2 linked regions of the Lonchura striata genome follow. The protein of the gene in region 1 purifies or fractionates together with the protein of each later gene. This does not show direct contact. Links are inferred from orthologs where the notes say so. Each region holds a gene or a part of one and is shown on either strand. Other genes may lie near its edges.

The links.
Region 2: the proteins of NIPSNAP2 (region 1) and HADHA purify together in Homo sapiens (affinity purification with mass spectrometry; 3 studies listed by BioGRID and IntAct, with this or other methods). This does not show direct contact. The link is inferred for Lonchura striata from reciprocal best matches to the Homo sapiens genes NIPSNAP2 and HADHA.

What each region holds. Positions count from the first base shown.
Region 1 is NC_134622.1:6,390,729-6,399,132, forward strand, and holds the start of NIPSNAP2 (protein NipSnap homolog 2), read left to right. Parts: upstream 1-5,152; 5' UTR 5,153-5,183; coding exon 5,184-5,269; intron 5,270-8,404. Other genes in the region: MRPS17 (small ribosomal subunit protein uS17m), read left to right, coding at 807-1,097. UniProt on the Homo sapiens protein: Protein involved in mitophagy by facilitating recruitment of the autophagy machinery required for clearance of damaged mitochondria.
Region 2 is NC_134605.1:113,198,311-113,206,455, forward strand, and holds the start of HADHA (trifunctional enzyme subunit alpha, mitochondrial), read left to right. Parts: upstream 1-4,869; 5' UTR 4,870-4,906; coding exon 4,907-4,994; intron 4,995-8,145. Other genes in the region: HADHB (trifunctional enzyme subunit beta, mitochondrial), read right to left, coding at 665-761, 2,176-2,217, 2,576-2,642. UniProt on the Homo sapiens protein: Mitochondrial trifunctional enzyme catalyzes the last three of the four reactions of the mitochondrial beta-oxidation pathway.

The DNA.
Region 1 (8,404 bases):
TTGAAGTGCCTTGTTAATGCATTTCATTTGATCTTTTTGGGAAGGTAAGCTTTTGTTGTTTCACACTTAGATTTAATTTATCATGTCGATGTGGAGCATGCTTTGGAGACTTGATATTAGTCACTTGTACAATAAATTTTATAGCTGTTTTTTCTGTATGTATAATTGTAACATTCCTGTGATCTTGGATTTATCCCTTATCGATGCACTTCAAACAGGAAGGTTAAAAATTGTATTTTCGCCATTTTAAATAGGGAAACAGTGGTACATGGAGGTAGAATAAATTGCCTTTGGTAACCAAAAGGTTAAGGATAGAGTCAGGATTGGAAAATGGGTCTTGTGGAGCCCATGTCAATATTTTATCCAGTAGAAAAACCTTTCTTTATTTCTTAACCTAATCTATTTCATAAAAAAATTCTGAGCTCTGCTGTTCTAATAAGAACAAAAAAAGACTTTTTATGTGGAAAAAAAAATATTTCAGCTAGAAAACTCTCACATAAAAAACTTCAAAATACAGATTTCAGAGCTTTTTCTTCCCCATCTCCTTTCTCCAGGCTCAGTTGGCAACACTGTGCTGAGAAGAGATTGGGAAACAGCAGTGCTGTGTGCTTTCTGTGGAGAACCTGTGGAGTGCACAGTTGCATTTCTCTTCATGATCCAAACTGAATCTCACTTTAAAAGATGCATAAGATTTTAGTGAAATTTATTTTATATTAGTTATATATTTAACCATCACGTAACTTTGAAATATAATACCAAGGTTTCTTTTTTTATTATTGTTATTATTCTTTTTGTTCCTTTTACAGTTCTTTAACAAAAGAAAAACCTATTTTGCCCATGACCCACTGCAGCAGTGTGTTGTTGGAGACATTGTTCTTCTGAAAGCTCTGCCTGAGAGAAGGAGCAAACACGTGAAACACGAACTGGCTGAAATTGTGTTCAAGGTTGGCAATGTCATAGATCCCATCACAGGAAAGCCCTGTGCAGGAACCAGATTCCTGGAAAACCTGTCAGATTCAGAAAATCTCACTGAGGCAGATACCACCTATCTAAGTGAGAAACTTCAGGAACTTAAAGTTTGTTCAACAGACAAATAGTGGGGGAAATATTTTAAGCAGAGGGCTTCCAGCTTTTGTCTCTCTCTGTCAGGGATGTTTGAGGCCCTGCTGTGATATGTTAAATGTTTCAGTGAAATCTGTAGTCAAAATAAATAGTAAATGTAGTTGCTTATGCAAAGAGATGTTGCAGTTTGATGGGCACCTGGATCTTTGAATGAAAATACAGAAAAAAAATGCAAGTTTAGTGTTCACACCTCATTTTGTTGCCTGTAGTTTTGCCCCAGTGACAGTTCCCAAAGGCAGCTGCCCTCCTGGAATGACCTCTCTGTGTTAAGACAAGACTACAACTGTGTGATGTTTAATTTCGGTGGGAGGGTCATTATATTATTTGATTGTTCTGTGTTTCAGGCAGTCTTTTGTGGTTTGTAGGGTTACTGGAGATGGTGCTATTAAAGCTTTTGAAAGGAAGTGTAGAATTTTACAATCAGCTGCATGATTGTGTCCTTATTTCCTCTTACAGTGCCTTCTGACTTCCAAACTCTAACAAAAACACAGCCCTTTGCCTTTCTAGTGGCAGAGAGGTGAGAATCAAAGCTTTGGGCAGCTTAGTGTGGTTGGCTCTGTCCCCTGTGCAAGCAGGATTTCATGCTGGGAGAGCTGGATCTCCTTGAGCTTTGCCAGCAGGACGGGGGAGCTGATGAGAATACAAAGCCTAAAAATGATTAGATTTAGGCTCATTAGAAAAGCTAATTAAAATAACACATTTTGGGGAGCTAGAGGTGCTGGTTTGCTGCATGTTTTAATGTGGAGTTAAAGGCCCAAGGAGTTAGTGATGAAAGATGATTTTATCCTGCTACAGCTCTGGGGATCTCATGTCCTCTCCTCCAGGACATAGAGCAAGATGAGAGCCTGCAGCTGTTGCAGCAGCCTCCTGTTCTGACTTTGGATCTAAAAGGGCATCTGTCTTAAAATTTGGCAGTGTGGGAGGGGAGAGTGGGATATGAGAGCTGTGAGCAATCCTTTCCAAAGTATCCATTGGTCTTTAGGGTCAGAAGCAAAAAACAAGGTGTATCAGACTTAAAATCTTAGCCTCTGACCTAAAATATCTTACTTTAAGCAACTGAGTAGCTTCCAGTTGTGTTCTCTGCTGTTGTAAAATTATTAAGGATCATTTTCCCTTTAACTTCCTGCACAAAATCAGTTCTGGCTGCCTAAAAAGCCTGAGTGAACTCAGCAAATGATTTGGGACAACAGGAATGAAAACCTTAAAGTTCCTTTGGTGCTTCAAAGCAAAAAATGCTGCTCTTTGAATGCCAGTGTTCATGTGGGTTGTCAAGAAACTTTCACTGAAATGTTCTGTGTGAAATTCTGTGGGCACAGGCTCTGAGGTTGAGGAAGTGCCTTAAGCATGTGGCTGTTGGGTTTTTCTTGTTGTTTGTGGCAGAGGTTTAGGTTTATGTAAATTCCTCAGGAATTGGAGCTGGCTGATCAAAGCAAAGGAAAAACCTGAGCTCTGATTCCTGCCCAGGTGAATGCAAAATGCGAAACTTCATCCAAGCAGAGATTGGGAGAACTTGGACACAGGGTAGAACTTGGTCCTGGGCTATAGGAAGTGCACTGAAGCTGTATCCAAGCAGAAATTGACCCTCAATATTTGGAATATAAGTGTTCTGATAACTAGATAATTATAAAAAATTGCAAAGCTTTCCTGTTTGCTTAATAGGTTGCATCTACATCTAATTAGGGGAGTGAATATTTTCTTGTCTTGTGATTTCCCTTGAGTAGCTGTGAAAATGCCACTTTTTTTCCTATAAGATTGATTCATCACAGAAGGTTATAATTTTTCCAGTGTAGGCTCCAGGAGGGTTGCTCAAGAACTTGCCACACTGTCAGATCAAAATGTCACTAAAACCAAATTACATGTCAGACTGTGTTACTTAAGAGTCATGGCAATTGTAGGTTAAATTGTTTTAAAGTACAAAGATTGTACTTTTGTGATGTTAAAGCACATCATATGTGTTATCTTCTGGATTAGTCTCAGAAAGTGCTGATAGAAAAGTCATAAAATGGGAAGGGAAAGTTTATAGGGCCAAGATAGAATCATTACAGGTGTTACATGGAATGATAAGGATTAGTCACTGACTGCTTTCTGTGTTTATTGGCTTGTTGCTTTTAGAACTAGCCTTTAATTATTACTCTAATTATCACTTTATCCTTAATTTGAAGTGATTTAAGGATTCAATGCCAGCACACACCTCCTCCTCTGCGAAAATATATCCAAGTACAGCAGAGCAGAGTGTGAGGAAAACCCTTCAGCAACCAGCGAGTCAAAAATGTACTGGGAGAGCAACATACCCAGGGCTGGGGGGTCCCCTAAATCCAACTGGGTCCCCTAAAACCAGGGCTGGGAGTCCCCTAAATCCAACTGGGTCCCCTAAAACCAGGGCTGGGAGTCCCCTAAATCCAACTGGGTCCCCTAAAACCAGGGCTGGGATTCCCCTAAATCTGACTGGGGGACTTCAACCCGAGACTGGAGTCGCCCCAAACTGAGCCCAGGGTCCCCCTAACTGGGGCAGGAGTCTGTCAAAACTGGGGCTTGAGGGTCTTAATAAGTCCAAGTGGGTTCCTCCCCAAACTGGGGCTTGGGTAAACCTAAACAAGGCTGGGGACACCCCAAAACTCTGGCTGGGGTCCCCCCAAATTCAAGTAGATCTCCCCAAACCAGGGCTGGGGTCCCTCTACGTCTTAAGTGTTCCCAAACCAGGGCTGGGAAATCGCCCCCAAATCCGACTTGGTCCCCCCCCCAAACCAAGGCTGGAGAACCCCAAAACCAGAACTGGTTCCCCTATATTTGAATAGAAGTCCCCAAAGCTACGTAGGGTCCCCCTAAACCCAACTTGGTCCCCCCAAACCGGGGCTGGGGTCCCTTTATGTCTGAGTAGGTGTTCCCAAACTGGGGCATGGTTCTCCCTAAAGCCGACTTGGTTCCCCCAAATCCGACTTGGTTCCCCCAAAACCGAGGCTGGAGAACCCCAAAACTAGACCTGGGTCCTCTGTATCTGAGTAGCGGTCCCCAAAGCTGGGCAGGGTTCCCCTAAAGCTGACTTGGTCCCCCCAAAGCAGGGCTGGGGTCCCTCTACGTCTGAATAGGTGTTCCCAAACCGGGGCATGGTTCCCCCCAAATCTGGCTTGATCCCCCCAAAACCAAGACTGGTTTTGGTCCCCAAAGCTGGGCAGGGTCCCCCTAAACTCTACTTGGTCCCCCCAAACCGGGGCTGGGGTCCCTTTATGTCTAAGTAGGTGTTCCCAAACCGGGGCATGGTTCTCCCTAAAGCCGACTTGGTTCCCCCAAATCCGACTTGGTCCCCCCAAAACCGAGGCTGGGGAGCCCCAAAACCAGAGCTGGGTCCCCTATATCTGAGTAGCGGTCCCCAAAGCTGGGCAGGGTCCCCCTAAACCCAACTTGGTCCCTCCAAACTGGGGCTGGGGTCCCTTTATGTCTGAGTAGGTGTTCCCAAACCAGGGCATGGTTCTCCCCAAATCCGACTTGGTCCCCCCAAAACCGAGGCTGGGGAGCCCCAAAACCAGAACTGGTTCCCCTATATCTGAGTAGCGGTCCCCAAAGCTGGGCAGGGTCCCCCTAAACCCAACTTGGTCCCTCCAAACCGGGGCTGGGGTCCCTTTATGTCTAAGTAGGTGTTCCCAAACCGGGGCATGGTTCTCCCTAAAGCCGACTTGGTTCCCCCAAATCCGACTTGGTTCCCCCAAAACCGAGGCTGGGGAGCCCCAAAACCAGAGCTGGGTCCCCTATATCTGAGTAGCGGTCCACAAAGCTGAGCAAGGTCCCCTTAAAGCTGGCTTGGTTCCCTCAAATCTGACTTGGTCCTCCCTAAACCAAGGTTGGGTAACCCCAAAACCAGAACTGGTTCCCCTATATCTGAGTAGCGGTCCCCAGAGCTGGGCAGGGTCCCCTAAACCCGACTGGGTCCCCCCAAGGCGGGGCCGGGGTCCCCCCTCAGCTGAGGGGCCGTGAGGGGGTCGCGGGGCCGCGCATGCGCGGGCGGCGCTGCCCGCCAGGGGGCGTGGCCGCAGCCCCCGGCCCAGGAGGGAGGCGGCGGGAGCAAGATGGCGGCGCGAGTGCTGCTGCGGGGGAGCCTGGCGGGAGCGCCCGCCCTGCCGCGCCTGCAGCCCGGCACCGGGCCTGCCCTCAGGTGAGCCCTGAGGGGGGCGAGGCGGGCGGGACGGGGCCGCCGGGGGAAGCTGCACGGCAAGAGCCGGCGCCGCCCGAGCCGCCTTGCGCCCCGCCGCGCGCAGCGTCCCCTTGCCAGGCTGGAAATGGCGCCCCGCCGGCGGGGCAGCGGCCGGGCCTGGGGCGGGCGGTGCGAGCGGCGGGGCGTCCCTCAAGGTCACGGGCCGCAAGGCCGGCCCCTTCCTTCCCTCCCCGAGTCCGCCCCTGGGTGGGAGGATGGCCGCCGGAGCCCGGGCTCGGGGGGCGCCCGGAGCCTTTCCCCTCACGGCCACCCCCGCGCGGAGCGGGCGCGCCGCGGCTCCGGGGTGCCCCGCCGCCTGCGCACCGCTGCGCCCGTGTTAGACACCGGGATGCTCGCACCGCGCTGCCCCTCCAACTCCTCCGAGCAACAGGGTGCACGGCCGGCAGCGGCTCCTGTCAGCGGGCACGGCCGCAAATCCCTGCTTGCCCAGGGTTTGCGTGGCTGCACATCCCGATGTCTTCCTGCCTTCACCGTTCACAGCCACGGCTGGTACTTCCCGTGGGAGCTGGGCTCACCTTCTCCCGGTGCTAGGGCACACAGAGAGGCACATCCCGCAGGTTTTGGTGTGCAGAGATTTGTATTTCTGTGTGCGAGGGTGCCCGAGGTGCATTCATACACGCACACAGCTCCTGGGGGCACCTCCCAGGTGTAGGAAGCAGGCACAGGGTGATGGAAACACAGGAATTCCCAAGCTGGGATGGATCTACACAGTTTTTCCTCCCTTTCCTTGAAGCTGCCGCTTCAAGCTCTAGAACAAGCATCCCTGCAAGCAGCTGTTCAGGGAATGTGTTGTGAGGTTTTACCTGCATGATTTTTGCATATTTTAGTTGCAAATAAACTTTGTTTAGACCACAGATCAAAAGCTGTCAAAGATAGAAAAGTTGGTTTTCTTACTCTTCCAGGTAGATTTGGGTTACTACAAAATCTAAATACTTAACCTGGTGTGTCCCACCCAGGTTATGTTTTGTGCTAAAAAGGTGTTTTCCGTGAGATTTTTAATCTAATCTAAACAAGCAATTCAGTGTTAGCCTTTTGTGTTCAGAGCCCAACCTTTGCAGCAGGAAAGCAAGGCCCACAGTTAATATTTGCAGCTTGAGAACTTGATGACAAGTTCTCAAAGACAAGTTGATGCTCACAGCTGTTGAAAGACCTGAATTCAGTCCCTGCTCCTCCAGAGCTAATTTTGGGTACAGATTGCCCCAAAAATTGAATCAGTGATCAATTCAGGGCTTCTTGGTTCAGTGGTATTTTTAGGATATTGATTAAAAGTCAGGCTATTGAATCTCAGTTTGGGTGCAGTGTGTGAGGTGTATATTTAGTTGTGATTTGTGCTCATGAGGAGCTTTACAGCTGCTGGGGAAAAGATTTTTCCATACATGTAAAATATTACTCATGTCATTGTTTTGAAAATTAACCATACCTCCAGTTTTCAGTGCAGTTTAACATTCAAGTCACGAGATTCTCCTAACAGCAAAGAAATTTGCTTTTCAGAGTTAATCCCTGTAGCTCCAGCTTACTTCTGCTGCTGATGGAGTTCTTTTTCCTCTTCAAAGTTTGCTGCAAACAATGATCCTTGTAGATGAGTTTTCTAAATATTACCTTGCTAACTTTGTTTAATAAAGGGGAGGGAATTGTTTAAAATGAGAGTTTACAGGTCTGAGTATTGCAGGGTTTGACTTCTGCCTCCTGGAGCCAGGGAGGGCTTAATTTGAGGGAGCCTTTTCAAACAAAACTTGAATTTCTGAGGTGGGGTTCTCTGAGCTCAGAGAAAGCTCCACTCCAGCAGCAGCCTTATCATGGACTGCCCTTCAAATGCCTGCCCTCAGGAATTTAGCACAGCCTCATGTTTGTGTGTGTGCCCAGAGCAGGGCAGGCACCATTTTCAATAAACACACCAAGATTTAAACATCATTTCTTTGTGCTGAAGGTCATCTCAGCTGTGGTGGTTGTTTCTCTGCTGTGCAATACTTTCCCTCTCCTCCAGCCTGCTTCCATGGGCAGAACCAGGTCATTATGTTCTTTTCTGACACTGGGATTAAAAGGTGGATTGTTGTAAAAAATGCTTTTGTGCAATACAGGTGTGTCCTAGGGGATATTTTCCCAAAGGAAATTGAGATTTTCTTTCCCTGTTTTCTTTTCCTGGTAGAAAGCTTTGGGCTGGAGGTCCAGCTGTCCTCTGGATCCACAAGTCAGTAGTTAGGGGTGAAAAGTTGATGGCTGAGATTTCCACCTTAGAAGTAAATATATGTGCTACAAATGCCACATGTAATATTTCAGTATTTCAGGAGAAGCTTGTGACAGAATTAATTTTTCTTCACTGTGGCTACTATGAGGCTGTCAAAAAAAGGCAAATTGGAGGACGAGAAAGAAGCAAAACCTTTTGAGCTTGTCAGACATTGTAGAGGATCAGTTAAATGCATCAGATTCCTTGTCCTGGTCTCTGGGAAAAAGGAATAATTCCTTTAACACATCACTTAAAAAACCACAGTCTGTGTGCTGTGATGTAAAGGGAGGTGCCACTATTTTGAAAGTGTACTTGGAGAAGCTGGACAAAGATTGGATAAGAAAAGACAGTGAAAATGTTATGTTTGGAGGCAGGGGAAATGTGGATGTTGTACAGAGAGCCTGGCTCTGTGTCCCTGTGTGTTGCTGCAATCTCATCCTCTTTCCCAAATCAGTATTTCATGCTATTTTTCCTCTTGAAAGACATTTCCCTTTTGTAGAGCTGTCTTTAAGGAGCACAGGAACATATGGCACTTCCTTTCCCTTTTACACTGTGCAGTTTTCCTTCTGCACGTTTTTTGCTCTTTTTCACTCCTGACTCTTTACACCAGGCCAGACCCAGCCCTGGGCAAAAACAATGGGTTAAAAAAGAGGATAAATAGGCAGGAGAAGCAGCCATTGCACAGGGAATAAGCATGGATAATGTGGGTTGTGGGAATAGGGTTTGTAGAGAATTTTTAAAGTTTGATGGAAGATTTTATGTACATTAATTGTTACAGTGACAGTGTTAGCACCTTGTGTGCTTCACTGTGCACAGCAAATGATGAACAAGGCCATCAGAGAAGTTTTTTC
Region 2 (8,145 bases), on another chromosome or scaffold:
CAGCTCTCCTGGAGCCCCTCCAGGCCCTGCCAGGGGCTCTGAGCTCTCCCTGGATCCTTCTCCTCTCCAGGTGAGCCCCCCCAGCTCTCCCTGGATCCTTCTCCTCTCCAGGTGAGCCCCCCCAGCTCTCCCTGGATCCTTCTCCTCTCCAGGTGAGCCCCCCCAGCTCTCCCAGCCTGCCTCTAGAGCAGAGGGGCTGTAATCACTGCTATAAACCCACAGAAAAGCAGCAGGGAGCACATAAGAAAATCCTTTCTCCATCCTGTCTCCATAACAGTCAGGTGTGGCTTTAGTTCAGCTGTGGATTTGGTGGCACAGCAATCCAGGAAGAAGAGCCTACAGCAGATTCTTGGCCCCTGTCCTGCCAGTTCTGTCAAACTTGTTGCTTCCTCTGCTATAAATTCTCCAACTGCTTCCTCTAGACATGCTCCATAAATCCTTACCCTTCCTGGGATTCATACACACACTGACAACCTTCTTCAAACCACATTCCTGCACTAAATACACTGGAATAACTGCAGCAGCCCAACTCAGGGCCCCTCCTGAGCCTCTAGGCCCAAGAATAACTACATTCAAAGGAACAAGTGAGGTTTTTCACAGAAAGAGTTGAGTTTTAACCAAACCAGGGCGTGCTTGCTGGGTTTCACTGGTCTCTGATACTCACGTGGTGCCAGACTGCAGAAAGGGAATGCGGACACCCTCCACCACCACCACATTCTTCACCCCAGTTTTGCCCAAGGTCTTCTTAGTCTTTGGCTGAACTGGGAAGAGAGAAGTGATGGTGACAAGAATATCAGCAATTTTCATATAGATCCTGCAAAGCTTCTAGAAAACAAAGGAAATTGTCCTTTTTTGGTGTGTAAGTGAAAGGCAGGGAAGGTAGGAATCCTGGAATCATGGAATGGTTTGGGTAGGAAGGGACCTCAAAGCTCATCCATTGCACCCCTGCCATGGACAGGGACACCTCCTGCTATCCCAGGTTGCTCCAAGCTCCATCCAACTGAGCCTGGAACACTTCCAGGGATGGGGCCTGTGCCTCATCATCCTCACAGCCAAGAATTTCTTCCTAATGGGAAGAAATTTCTTCCTAATGGGAAGAAATTCTCTCCCCAGTGGGAGAGGTTCAAAACAAGGGATGTCATGACCTGGCATCATTCCACAGGCCAGTGCCAGGACAAAACTCCAGCACTGTCTGGAGATTCCTTCAGGCTCTTCCCAAAGCCTGGCGATGATGGGGAGCTGCTGTCCAGGCCTGTTCCCAAAATCCCAAAGCATGAATCACCTGAGCAACCCCCACAGTGAACCCAGAGCGTGGATCACCCCAGCCACTCACTGTGGGCTGAGACTAAAAACTGGGAATGGTGCTGGGAGCTGGGGCAAACTGGGAACGGGCACTGGGAGCCAGGGGCAGACTGAGAATGGGCACTGGGAGCAGCCTGGGAATAGCACTGGGAGCTGGGGGCAGACTGGGAATGGCCCTGGGAGCTGGGGGCAGACTGGGAATGGCCCTGGGAGCTGGGGGCAGACTGGGAATGGCCCTGGGAGCACACTGGGAATGGCACTGGGAGCTGGGGGCAGACTGGGAATGGGCATGGGAGCAGACTAGGAATGGCACTGGGAGCAGACTAGGAATGGCACTGGGAGCTGGGGGCAGACTAGGAATGGGCATGGGAGCAGACTAGGAATGGCACTGGGAGCTGGGGGCAGACTAGGAATGGGCATGGAAGCAGACTAGGAATGGCACTGGGAGCTGGGGGCAGACTGGGAATGGGCACTGGGAGCAGACTAGGAATGGCACTGGGAGCAGACTGGGAATGGCACTGGGAGCTGGGGGCAGACTAGGAATGGGCATGGGAGCAGACTAGGAATGGCACTGGGAGCTGGGGGCAGACTGGGAATGGCACTGGGAGCTGGGGGCAGACTGGGAATGGCCACTGGGAGCAAACTGGGAATGGCACTGGGCGCCAGGGCACTCAGCAAATGAGAGGACTCTGCTGCAAATACTGCTTTGCCTGAAGTTTTCCTTGCTTGCAGCTTTTCAGGAACACCCGAACCACCCTGCATTCTGCACCATTTCTAAGATTTAAGTGGAACAAGACTGTGGGAAGTGGAGGCAGCTTCCAAAACACCCCTGTCTAGCACAGACCCACTGAGATTCTGGTGTTTCCTCCTTACCTGCAGCTTGGAACGGCGAGGAGCAGCTGAGTGATCGAGTAACTGGAAAACAAGAAAGGGGAAAAAATACCAGAAAAATGTCAGAAACAGTTCTAGTCTCTGCAAGAAGGGTTAGGAAAGCAGATAGTGTCACTCTAAGACACCTGAGCACCTGTGGGGTGTTGGGTGGTTTACTCTGTGCAGAAACCTGGTACACTTTCTGTTAACTGTTAACTCAAGACTCCTCCCCATATGATGCAGGAAGGGACAAACAAGGCAACAATGTAATTAGGATTAAAAAGTAAAAAATGTCAGTCTTTTAAAGGTGAGAACGGGTATAGATTCAGACCCCAGCATCCATTCCAAACCCAACACTTCAACCAGAGGTTTACGGCCACCAATAAAATCTAAAGATACTCACAGGCCCCAGCAGCCCAGGCTGAGGACACGGGGAGGTTCCGCAGGGCAGAGCTCAGCATGGAACTCATTTTGGGATCTAGGGAAAGGCTGGGCTCAGTCCAAGCTGCTGTGTCCAGAACAATCCCAAGGGAAGCGTCCTGCCTGCCTCACACAGAGCCAGCAAGGTGAGGGGCACACACTGCAAGGGCAGCAGCAGCACAGGGAATCACCTCCCACCACGCTTGTGCCTGTGAATAAACACCGCCCTGTGAGCTTCTCAATTCCCTCCCAGGAACTGCTCCTCCACTTCCCACTGGAAAATTGTCCCAGTGCCCAGGCAGCCCTGCTGCCAGCAGCACCTCCTGACACCAGCAGTGTCCTTGGCACCCCTGCCCCTCGTTGGCCCCTGGTGCCAGCCTGAGGATCCTGCTGTGCATCCCCACAGCAAACACAGCAAGTTCGCCCCCAAAAACCCCTCTGAAGCTCTCCCAAATCGGGTTTCCCTATAAACAAACCCTCATCTGCAGTTTATTGCCGAGATGGCCCTCACAGCTCCAGGACTTTGCTTGATCCATGTCAACATTCATCTCCCTCTGTCACACTTTGTGGGTTCAAATCCTGGCACTTTCTCTCCCAAGCACAGAGTTTTGCCATGGAGGGGCACAGGAACACCCACAGTCCCAAACCCAGCCCTCTGCAGTTCCCCATAACTCAGCACAAGCTGCCAGTCACCCCCTTTGACACCTCCCAGCTGCAGCTCCACACCTGGAATGTGACCCTTCCCAGCCCCAGGCTCCTCCTGCCAACAAAAATCCCAAAACCAGACCTTTCCAAAGCATCCTGCTCCTCCTCCACCTCTGCCAACCTCCCTCCCCACACCTGACTGAAGTTTTCCCCTAAATTTTCCCTGCCCAGCTGACAGAAGTTTCTCCCAGGTGTAACCTCCTCCTCCCTCCCACACTGCACAGCCATCTCCTCCCGGTGCACCCCCGTTCCTGCCCCTTCAAAACACCCCAAACTCCCTCATTTTTGGGAGCCAGTGCTCCCCTGGCACCCCAAGGGCTCAGCCCTGCCCACACAAATCGTCAAGACAAAGCTCCTTGCAGAGCCAGGATTTGCCTGGATTCCACAGCTCTGTGACCCTCACGGATCCCTTCCAACTCAGGATAATCCACAATTCCATGAACAGCCCCTGCTCCCTTCCTGTCCCCACACACCCCTGACACTTTCACACCGCAGCACCGCCACCTCCACCCCGGGACTCCCACCCCAAACACACCCGTGCTGCTCTCAGCCACCCCCAAACCCCCTCATCCACCCAGGGCCAACTCACGACCCCTGCTGTCCGCCCAGGACCAGCCCCTCAGTCCTTTCATCCATCCAGCACTGACCCCCTGGGACCTCCTCACCCTTTCCCAGCCCCCCTACCCCATCCATCAGGAATGAACCCACCAAAACTCCCCTCACTCCCATTCGGAACGAACTGCCCGACTCCCCAAACTTCCATCCAGAAAGAACCTCCAACTCCTGTCACGTCTCCCCATCCATCAGAACGAACCCCCCAACTTCCCTCACTTCCAACTGGAATGAACACCCAGACTCCTCTCACATCCAGAACGAACCCCTCAACTCCCCTCACTGCTCCCCGTCCATTCAGAATGATCCAGACTCGCCTCACTGCTCCTCGTCCATCCAAAAGGAAACCCCGAGTCCCCTCACGTCCACCCAGAACGAACCCCCCGCCTCCCCTCACTTCCATCGAGAACGAACCCCCCGACTCCCCTCACGTCCCCCCTCCATCTGCCCCCACCCCCGGCCTCCCTTCATCCCTCCCCGCCCGCTGAGGACAGACCCCCGACCCTCTGCTCCAGCCCGCACCGCGCCTGACCCCCACCCTCCTCCTCAGGACCGCCTCCCGACTGCTCCCACCCTCCCCGCGCTGCCGTCCACGCAGGACGGAGCCCCTGACCGCCCCGTGCGCTCCCGTCCCTTTCCGTCCGCTCACCTCCGCCCTCACCGCGCTCTGCCGCCGCCGCCGCTCCTCCACCCAGCGAGGACCCCGCGCCCCGCCACCCTCGGGCTGCCCGCGTCCGCCTGACCCGCACCTCTCCCTCTACCGCCGCCCCGCAGCCCGTCCCCGGCCTCTCCCGCAATCCGCTGCGGCCCGGCGCGGGTCGCACCCACCCGAGGCTCGGCGGAGAGCGGAGCGGGAGGCGGCGGCGGGGCGGCGGCGGCGGCGAAGCGCGCGGGCAGCGCGGCGGGCAGCGCGGGCGGGGCGCGGCGGGCGGGGCGTGCGCCGTCAGGCCCCCCCCCCCACCGGCGGCCTCTCCTCCCTCATTCGACCTCGGCGAAGATGGCGGCGGCGGTGCGAGCCATCGGCAGCCTCGGCCGCCTCCCGGCCGCCGCCAGGGCCGGCCCGACGCGGCACACCCCGCCCCGCGGTGAGCCAGGGCACGGCGGGGAGCGGGAGCGGCCGCACTGCGGGGGCCCCCGCCTGAGGGGAGCACCGGGGGATGGGGGCAGTGGGGGGTGAGGGACGGGAGGTGCCTGAGGGGGTATTGAGGGAAGGGGAGCGCTGGCGGGCAGGGGGGCAGTGAAGGGGCAGTGAAGGCTCGGGGGACGCTAAAGGAGCGAGGATTGGCGTGGGATGGGGCTCACTGAGGAGAAAGTTTTGGGGGGACGGTGAGGAGGCGCTGCAGGGGTGGCGCTGAGGGGGCGAGGGGCAGGGGGGCACTGAGAGCCGCGCTAAGTGGGCGAGGGCCGGGGTGACATTGAGGGGATGAGGAACAAGGGGTCCCAGAGAGGATTTCATGGTGCTGGGGCAGGAGTTGGGGGTGTCTGGGGGTCACAAAGGGTTCTTGAGGTGATGGCTGTGAGGAGTTCGCAGGAAGGCTGTGAGGGCCGGGACTGGGACAGGGGATCCCCGGGGCAGCTGTGGGGTGGGAGGTGTCCCCATGTGTGTCTGTGCCCCGTGTGAGGGGTTTGTCCCCAGAGTCACCCAAGGGGATCCCTGGCAGGTCCCAAACATCCCCCACCCCGAGGTTTGTCCCCTCCGTGTCCTGTGGTCTCTGGGGGTTGTGTGCCCCCATGGGGACATCCTGCTGTGCCAGTCCTTGCACAGGGACACGCTGTGGGAATCTCTGAGCAGTTCTTGGGGGGTCCCAGTGAGCTGGCACTGATGGGGGGACACACCCTCCAGTCAGATCCCTGCACATGAGCTGAGCCACGGGGAGAGAGTGTCCTTGTGCCCTGACACGTGTGCCTGTCCCCAGTGCCCCGAGTGGCTGCTTGGAAAGGAGAGGGTGTCCCCATGTCCTTGGCAGCCTGGGTGCTGTGGCTGCCCTCCAGGCAGGCAGGTGTATCCATGGGATCCCTGTCATCCCTGTGACCCCGTAGTCCCACTTGCCTGGGGGGAGGCTGTCTCCAGGTGCTCCATGATTTCTCAGCTGAGAGAATTGGGGATGTTCAGCCTTGGGAAAAGAATCATCCTCTGGGGAGAGCTCAGAGCCTGGAGGGCTCCAGGAGAGCTGCAGAGGGATTTGGGACAAGGAATGGAGGGACAGGACCCAGGGAATGGCTGTGTCCAGAGGGCAGGGCTGGATGGGAGATTGGGAATTAGGAATTGTTCCCTGTGAGGGTAGGGAGGGGCCGGGATGGAATTCCCAGAGCAGCTGGGGCTGCCCCTGGATAATCCCTGGCAGTGCCCAAGGCCAGGTTGGACACTGGGGTTTGGAGCCACCTGGAATAGTGGAAGGGGTCCCAGCCATGGCAGGGGTGGCACTGGATGAGCTTTAACATTCCTTCCCATCTAAACCATCCTGGGATTCAGTGATTCCATGATTTTGTGGGGGCATCTCCCTTGCCAGCTTGGGCAGGGCTGTGGCTCTCTCCTGCCTCTGCACGGATCTGGCTTGGTGCCTCCTGGCCACCGAGGCAGGGAGTCCCCAGGAGCCCTGGGAAGGCCAGAGGGCCTGGCTGGGAAGCTCTGGAAACCTCACATTTGAGCACTTTGAAGGGCCTCAGAGTCTGGTGTTGATGTTGACCCAAACTCCAGCTCTATTTCGTTTAAACCCAAACCTGAGCTCAGCAGTGCGGGGTTCAGAGCTGGACTCGGTGCTCTGAGAGCTCTTATCCAACAAGTCCATGGTTCTGGGATCATGGTGAGCAATTCCTGGTTCAGGGATTATGGTGAGCAATGCCTGGTTCTGGGATCATGGTGAGCAATCCCATGGTTCTGGGATCATGGTGAGCAATTCCTGGTTCTGGGATCATGGTGAACAATTCCTGGTTCTGGGATCAGGGTGAGCAATTCCTGGTTCTGGGATCATGGTGAGCAATCCTGGTTCTGGGATCATGGTGAGCAATTCCTGGTTCTGGGATCATGGTGAACAATCCCATGATTCTGGGATCCTGGTGAACAATTCCATGGTTCTGGGATCATGATGAACAATTCCTGGTTCTGGGATCATGGTGAGCAATTCCTGTTTCTGGGATCATGGTGAACAATCCCATGGTTCTGGGATCAGGGTGAGCAATTCCATGGTTCTGGGATCATGGTGGACAATTCCATGTTTCTGGGATCATAATGAACAATTCCTGGTTCTGGGATCATGGTGAGCAATTCCTGGTTCAGGGATTATGGTGAGCAATTCCTGGTTCTGGAATCATTGTTGTGGCGCGGCATGTGGCACAGCAGATCATGGTGAGCAATTCCTGGTTCTGGGATCATGGTGAGCAATTCCTGGTTCTGGGATCATGGTGAGCAATTCCTGGTTCTGGGATCATGGTGAACAATCCCATGGTTCTGGGATCGTGGTGAACAATCCCATGTTTCTGGGATCATAATGAACAATTCCTGGTTCTGGGATCATGGTGAACAATTCCTGGTTCTGGGATCGTGGTGAGCAATTCCTGGTTCTGGGATCATGGTGAGCAATTCCATGGCTCTGGGATCATGATGAGCAATTCCTGGTTCTGGGATCATGGTGAACAATCCCATGGTTCTGGGATCATGATGAACAATCCCACGTTTCTGGAATCATGGTGAGCAATCCCACAGTTCTGGGATCATGATGAACAATCCCATGTTTCTGGGATCATGGTGAGCAATCCCACGGTTCAGGGATCATGGTGAGCAATTCCTGGTTCTGGGATTATGGTGAACAATCCCACAGTTCTGGGATCATGATGAGCAATCCCATGTTTCCAGGATCATGGTGAGCAATCCCACGGTTCAGGGATCCTGGTGAGCAATTCCTGGTTCTGGGATCACAGCTGTGTTACGTGCAGCCTTGGAGCAGGTTTGTACGTGACAGGGAGCTGCAATCACTGAGGAGGAGACTTGTGGCAACTCCAGAGAGTTCTCAGGCTGCTGCTGGTTGGAATTCTTGTTCCAACTGGTGAAGCTCTCCACAACAAACAGCCCTGGAGCTGCTGTGAGGACACTACCACCGTTGCTAATGAATGAATACCCTCGTTCTGCCTTGCAAAGCTTGGGAAGTGCATGCAAAGCTCTCAGGGGCAGCCCAAAGGCAGGGAGCAGTCAGGAGCCAGGTGAGCTCCAGGGCTGGCTGTACCTGCTGGGCCACATCC